Elephas maximus indicus: one gene and its partner. The main gene of each other region encodes a partner of the protein of the gene in region 2 in a complex. Links are inferred from orthologs where the notes say so. Each region holds a gene or a part of one and is shown on either strand. Other genes may lie near its edges.

Region 1 (2,624 bases), on a different chromosome or scaffold from region 2:
GCGGAGCTCCTGCTTCCTCTTCTTGCTACGAGAGGGTCCTGGGGAGGCTCTAGCAGCGGTCGGTGAGGTCTCTTCTTCCTCCCAGTATCGCCGAGGTTTCTACCGGCAGATGAGGGACCCTGATGCTCCGCTACCCACGACCCTTGCACCCCCGGACCCTGCAGTTAAAAAATTCCCTTCCCTTCCCAGAGAGACCTCTACCTTCCTCTTGGACTGAACTCTATTTTTCTTCGGTGGGACATCCCCACCCGGCTTGGGGGCAGTCTCCATCAAGCCCACCAGATGATGATCCACGTGCAAACTCCTCTCAGCTGTCCCACAGTAGGCTAGGAAACCCCCGGAAGTGCTCTGATCCTCACCCAATGAGAGCCGTATACCAGGTCTGAAGCCCTCTGGCGCCATCTTAAGTGAGGGTGAGCGCTCCTTTGCGAGGCGGGGTTGTCTTGGCTATGAGTCGGAATCGACTCGACGGCAATAATACGGGTAGTCCTTCGCACCTCCATCCCGAACGGCAGTTTTTGCTCTAGTAATAATGCCACTGTGGATTAAAGAACGCCAAATCGCGGCACCAAGTAACAGTGAAGTTTTTTCCATCTAAGTTTTCCCATCTTGCCTAAAATCTTCTCAGTCCAGTCTTGTTAGCAGAACGCCTCTCATCACACATGTCAGAACCACACTTCCCGGCGTGTCTCAGAAGGCAGCGTCCGGCGCCGTCTTTTCCCAGCATTCCTTGTTTACTTCCGGGGTTAGTAATTCTAAAGGGAGAACGTGAATAGGGCGAGCTTTCGACTGAAGGGGTTGAGGTCTCGTTTCACCTTATTCCTTGGGGCTGGGACAGAGTCGATATTCGCAACGGGGAGAGGTTGCGGTGTCCTGAGGGGCTGCTTCTCAAGAGTGCTGTCTGTTCCGCCGGCCAGGCCAGGAAGGGAAGCTCGGGTACCTTCCAGAGTGTCAGACCCAGCGCCCCTCTCCCGCTCCTCGCAGGTTGTTGTCCCCGCCATGGCTGAGCTGATCCAGAAGAAGCTACAGGGAGAAGTGGAGAAATATCAACAGCTACAGAAGGGTAAGGGAGCAGGGTCGGTGTGGCCTCACCCCAATCTCTTCACTCACGCACAACCCAAAACAGTAACCAAGACAAAATTTTTCTGCCCCACCCACGCCCCTGTGTGAAGCCCCATCCCCTCCTCAATATTCCCCGTATCCATCGACCCATCTTTGTCTATTTCTTCAGCTCCATTCTCCTGACTAGGATTGTAAGAGTCGGGTGGCACATTTGATGTCTCTCATCATGTTTTTCCTTCCACTTCCCAGACTTGAGTAAGTCTATGTCAGGACGGCAGAAGCTTGAGGCGCAACTAACAGAAAATAATATCGTGAAGGAGGTGAGGGACTGGAATTTATGGGGCGGGAAGTGACTGGGATTTGTGGGGTGATGGTTCTGATCGTATATGTCCCTCTCCTCTACTCAGGAACTGGCCCTACTGGATGGGTCCAACGTAGTCTTTAAACTTCTGGGTCCTGTGCTGGTCAAACAGGAGCTGGGGGAGGCACGGGCCACAGTGGGGAAGAGGCTGGACTATATAACCGCTGAAATGTGAGTCTGTCCCAAACGCTGTAATGCAACTGACACTGTTGGAGTAGTTGCTGAGGAACCATTGTAGAGCAGCTCTGCACAGTGGCCCCTGATTGTGCAGTCCTCCACATCCTCCTTCCCTTTTAACCCTCCATCTCCTCCCTCCCCTAGATCTCAGCTTTGCCACTTATCTTTCTTGCTTTCAGTCTTTCAGTAGTCTCACTAATTTTTCCTTTTCTGTTTCTTTGTCTTCCTTGCCTCTCCTCAGTAAGCGATACGAATCCCAGCTCCGGGACCTGGAGAGGCAGTCAGAGCGACAGAGGGAGACCCTTGCTCAGCTGCAGCAGGAGTTCCAGCGGGCCCAGGCAGCAAAGGCAGGGGCTCCTGGGAAGGCCTGACCCTGTGGAGGTGGGGGGAGGGTGGGGAGGAGGGAATGAGGCAGCTCTAGATCTATACTGTAGCTAATAAAATGTGAAAACACTTGGTTCTGTTTTCTGACCAGCTACTCTGTCAAGTTTCTCTCTACATATTCTTCTGGCCCCTTCCACCTTATATGCCACTTACATTACTGTCTGAGGCCCATATTTTTGCAACTGGAGTCTCTCTTGGCAGGGCAATCTTTTCCTTCTTTCTTGAAACCAAAACCTGAAAGGTCTCAAATTTGTTTCTTGCCTGCATTTACAACCCTTCACATTCCCTTATCTTGGTTGGCGTGACCAACCAAGGAAACATGGGCAGGGCGTTTACAATGCAACATAGTGTTAGGAATATCGGTTTAATTGAAGAATCACAGTTCTCTAACCTGAGACCTCAGCATGAAATGTGGTTACCGTCCTTGCTATGAATACTTGTCATCCTTCCAAGAGCCATGGCATCTCTTTTAGTTCTTTTTAGTCTGTTTTCTTAGAATTTGTTTGTAGCTTAAACTGATGTAAATTCCCAACGTGCCTTATGGTTTGTAAGTTCTCTAAGCTCATGTGTTGCCCACAGGATTGTTCTTTCATCTCTGTTCTCAAATTTTTTCCTAGAAATTTGCAGCCAGAGGATTTTT
Region 2 (3,753 bases):
GCCATGGGAGTGACAGATGGTATCAGAGTTGGTAAAAAGGCTGGAGGGTGGAGACATGCAATCAGCCTTGGGTTGTTGACACTGATAATAATGATTCTTCCCCCTTGTGAAGTTAGAGGGGGCCAGATGCTGCCTCCACGCCATTCTTATACCCCAGATGACTTCATCCACAACCAGGGCTTTATCTACTATCCATAAGCTCATAACTCTCTAATTTGTATCTCCAACTCAAATTTCCTTCTGTAACTCAGGATTTATTAATCAAGATTTATAGATCAAACCACCTACTAAATGTCTCTACTGGGATATCCCATGAGAAACTGAAATTCAAAATCCTAAATTAAACTCATTTTTCCCCACAAACTTGTTCACTCTCCTACATTCCCCAAAGAACCATTATCCACCAAAGACAAAAACCAGAGCAATTCCTCTTTTACTCCACTCTCAATCTTGCAATCCATCTCAAACTTTGAGTCCACCTGCTCCCCAAAATTGCTGGGCAACTCCATACTTTAGTGCTTTTTAATACATTATTTCCTCTATCTAGAAAATCTTCTACTTCCTTCTTTGCTTAACTAATTTATCTTTTAGAACTGAGCTGAAGAAGAATCTCCTCTAGAAAACACTTTATGTTGTTTTGCCTAATTATCAACATACGGTGATGAAGTCAGTTCTATTTAGTATGTTTTTACAGATGGGAAAAGCTGAGGGAACTCATTGTAGATCATATATAGAGAGTAAGCAGAAGAAATGAGATTCATACCCCGGGCTGTCTGATCTCAGTGCACTGTTCTTATGCTCTTAGCCATCCCCTCTACACCACAGGTTCCCTTGCCCACCTGCTCCCAAAATTCCATAACCTCTTGCTAAGTTAAGGGGTCACTCCTTGAGCAACCATAAAGGAGGGGCTGTGAGGCACACTGAAAATCTTTGGTTTGTAAGCATGTGAGCTACTTGAAGACAAAGACAATTTCATTTGTATGTTTCCCTGTACCCAGGAGAGTGCCTGGTACATGGCAGACCCTTAAGAAGTACTAGGTTACTTCCGTCCCTCCCGCTTTTCCCCTAAGCAGGGCCCTGAAGTAGTTCCAACTGATTCAGTCATGGCCAATGAAGCACAACCCGAACAGACTCCAATTTTTACAATTTGGGTGCTCCGGAATGTTAACTAGGAATAGGAAAAATGGTCAAAGCCCTGGAATGGGAGACTCAAAAAAGGCATAATGACCCCTCTCAGGAGCCTGAGGCATGAAACTGGATTACTGGCAGGACTGCGGAGAGCAACGCACACAGTTTCCTGCCATCTTTGAGAGGGGCACCAATGTTTCTGACTCCGCTCAAAATCCCACCGGCAAGAGATTTGGTTGCTGTGCAACTTCGTATGCTGCCCTTGTTTTCTAAGACGGAGATTAGGTTTCTAGCAGGGTTTCGACCTATTTTTTTCCCTTCAGGGTATCATTCCGGTTCACCAAAATTTTAAAAATCTGGGTCTGTTTCGTGTTGCTTCCTTGGCCAAGACTGACCCAGGAAGAACCGGTTCAAAGCCCTGCCCCTAAGTAAGAAACTCTCTCTTCCCTCCTCCCCAAAATTCCATAGCACTTTACATCTCTCTTGGGACACTTGTCTTCTGCTTCATATGAGTATTTTCTGTGTTTTATTTTCCCCACCAGGCTATCAGCTCTTTGATAGCACCGGACGGTTTTAAAATTTTTTATGCAAGGTACCTTTGCCTGTAGTAACTGTTCAACAAATAATTGAATGAACTTGTAATTAAAACAGCTAAGTTCAAATGCAACCTTATGCCACTTGATTACTGATCCTGTTTAAATATGTTTTCATTTCTATTGTGTAGGTTTCTTACCATTCCGATCAAACACTATTTTTTTTTCCCACTATTAGCAAACCATGGTTTCCAAGCCACAAAGGTTCTTTCTGATTAATTTATCAAATGTCTCTGACGCTAAGCACTGGGAGAAACGCAAACTTGGATCAGAAAAAGGCTTTTGGTCTCTTAAGAAATTCAATCTAGTAATGACACCCGAATCTAGTATAGAACACTAGGCTGTTCGAGTATGTGAGTCACGTGGCTCTGCAGAGTGGCGGCGATTGTCCACGTGGTTCCAGGGTCACGTAACAACATACTACACAACCAGCCCGTTGTCTAAGGCCCTAGGATTCCTTATGAGCAGCCTTGCCCGGCCATATCCTGCCTCGGGGGTGCAGAGGGAAGGTGGGGAAAGTGACGACCCATCTTCCCTCAGACTTGTGCAACCTCCCAGGCTCTGCACCCCAGGGCTTTCCACTCTCCCAGGTTCACCCATCACCCCAGCGGGGCGTGGCTCTCACCTACCCACCGGCCCACTCTCTCCCGGGGGGCTCGGCTGGCGTTTCCAAGGACCCTCCCCTCTCTAGGTGGCCATGCAAATGTGCAACTCGGGTAAAGGCCTATGCGAGCCACAGGCCCCCCTCTCCTCGCATCAACTACGGACCCAGCCGGGGTTGTTCTCCTTGGCGTTCTCCGCTTCTCACCTGTTCGGCCGACACCGCCCCCTTCCCGACGCCGCTACCGCTGCTCTTGCCGGCGCGACCGCTGTTCTCCGCCATCTTCGCCGCCTGCTGGGTTTCCGGCCTGCGCGGCTCAGCCCCCGCCGTGCGTCACGTCCGGTCTTGGAGTTACCGCCCACTCGCCTCCGGCGCCTTTGGCTCCAGGCCGCTCTTCGCCCCGGACCTTGCTGATGGTTTCGGCTGTATCCTGATGTAGGACCTGCTTCCCGTCCCGCCGGCCGCGGTGAATTCCACCTGCGGTGCTTTAACTTGTGCAACAGAGGCGCGGCCCCTGGGAGAGGCGGAGAAGGATGGGTTGACTGGAGGGTGGGGGCACGGGTTGGGATCTGGGTACTCGTGGCCGGGATCGAGGGAGGGTGAACTTCCCTTCGGAGATTCTCGGTGTGAGGGGGAAATATGCGTTTAGTCAATAAAGCTGTGCAGACGCACAGTCGAGAAGAAAGGCCTGGGAAAATCAAGGAAGTTTCCTGTAGGTGACTTTTGAACTGCGGAAACGTTTGACAGAGGAAAAGGGCTTCTGTGTAATGTGAGATCGCTGTAAGTCCAAGTATTCCGGCGCCCAGCAGAGCCCCTTCCTCTACTTTCCTACTTTGTGACCTCTTCCTGTAGCCTATGATTGCTTAGAGTGTTTTGAAGACTTGGGAGTTTTTACTGGCAGGGTTCTGATTCAGCCTCACAGTGTGAAGGGAGAAGTTAGAGAATCCCAGAAACGTATGGCTTCAAGGAGGGATCGGTGTGCTGATTTTTCATCTTCCTCAGGCTGGGCTTCATCATCAGGCCTTGTCACCAGCTCCTGCCCCTCCTTCTGTGTCCTGGACTCCGAATACCTCGACTCTCAGTACTTTGTGCTCAGCACAGGTAATGTGTTTTGTTGTGTCCTCAGTGCCTGGCACATAGTAGATACTCAGTGAATGTTAAATGAATGGATGGTGGGGAGACACAGGGGTGCCAACCATCCACAGAACATTTGATTGGTGAACCCACTAGGCTTTGGTCAGTGTGCCCTGTTAAGAGCAGAATCAAAGGGAAGTCCAGCCTTCCTGTCTCCCCATTTAAACCCCTTATCATTAAACTTGAATTTCCCCATGCTGGGATGTCTGAGAATTCTGTCTGTGCCATTCACAGGCCCAGAGCCATGGCCATCTCCTCTTCCTCCTGGGAACTGCCCCTGGTGGCTGTGTGCCAGGT

Evidence for each region. Proteins that work in one complex are often made in the same cells at the same time.
Region 1: PFDN2 (region 2) and PFDN6 share a complex: the UniProt entries of both Homo sapiens proteins name them as parts of the PAQosome complex. The link is inferred for Elephas maximus indicus from reciprocal best matches to the Homo sapiens genes PFDN2 and PFDN6.

The regions. Positions count from the first base shown.
Region 1 is NC_064819.1:96,086,175-96,088,798, forward strand, and holds PFDN6 (prefoldin subunit 6), read left to right. Parts: upstream 1-747; 5' UTR 748-999; coding exon 1,000-1,063; intron 1,064-1,311; coding exon 1,312-1,382; intron 1,383-1,469; coding exon 1,470-1,594; intron 1,595-1,841; coding exon 1,842-1,971; 3' UTR 1,972-2,009; downstream 2,010-2,624. Other genes in the region: WDR46 (WD repeat-containing protein 46), read right to left, coding at 1-99, 360-503. UniProt on the Homo sapiens protein: Binds specifically to cytosolic chaperonin (c-CPN) and transfers target proteins to it. Binds to nascent polypeptide chain and promotes folding in an environment in which there are many competing pathways for nonnative proteins.
Region 2 is NC_064821.1:199,927,499-199,931,251, forward strand, and holds the start of PFDN2 (prefoldin subunit 2), read right to left. Parts: upstream 2,642-3,753; 5' UTR 2,605-2,641; coding exon 2,530-2,604; intron 1-2,529. Other genes in the region: NIT1 (deaminated glutathione amidase), read left to right, coding at 2,756-2,757, 3,325-3,423, 3,691-3,753. UniProt on the Homo sapiens protein: Binds specifically to cytosolic chaperonin (c-CPN) and transfers target proteins to it. Binds to nascent polypeptide chain and promotes folding in an environment in which there are many competing pathways for nonnative proteins.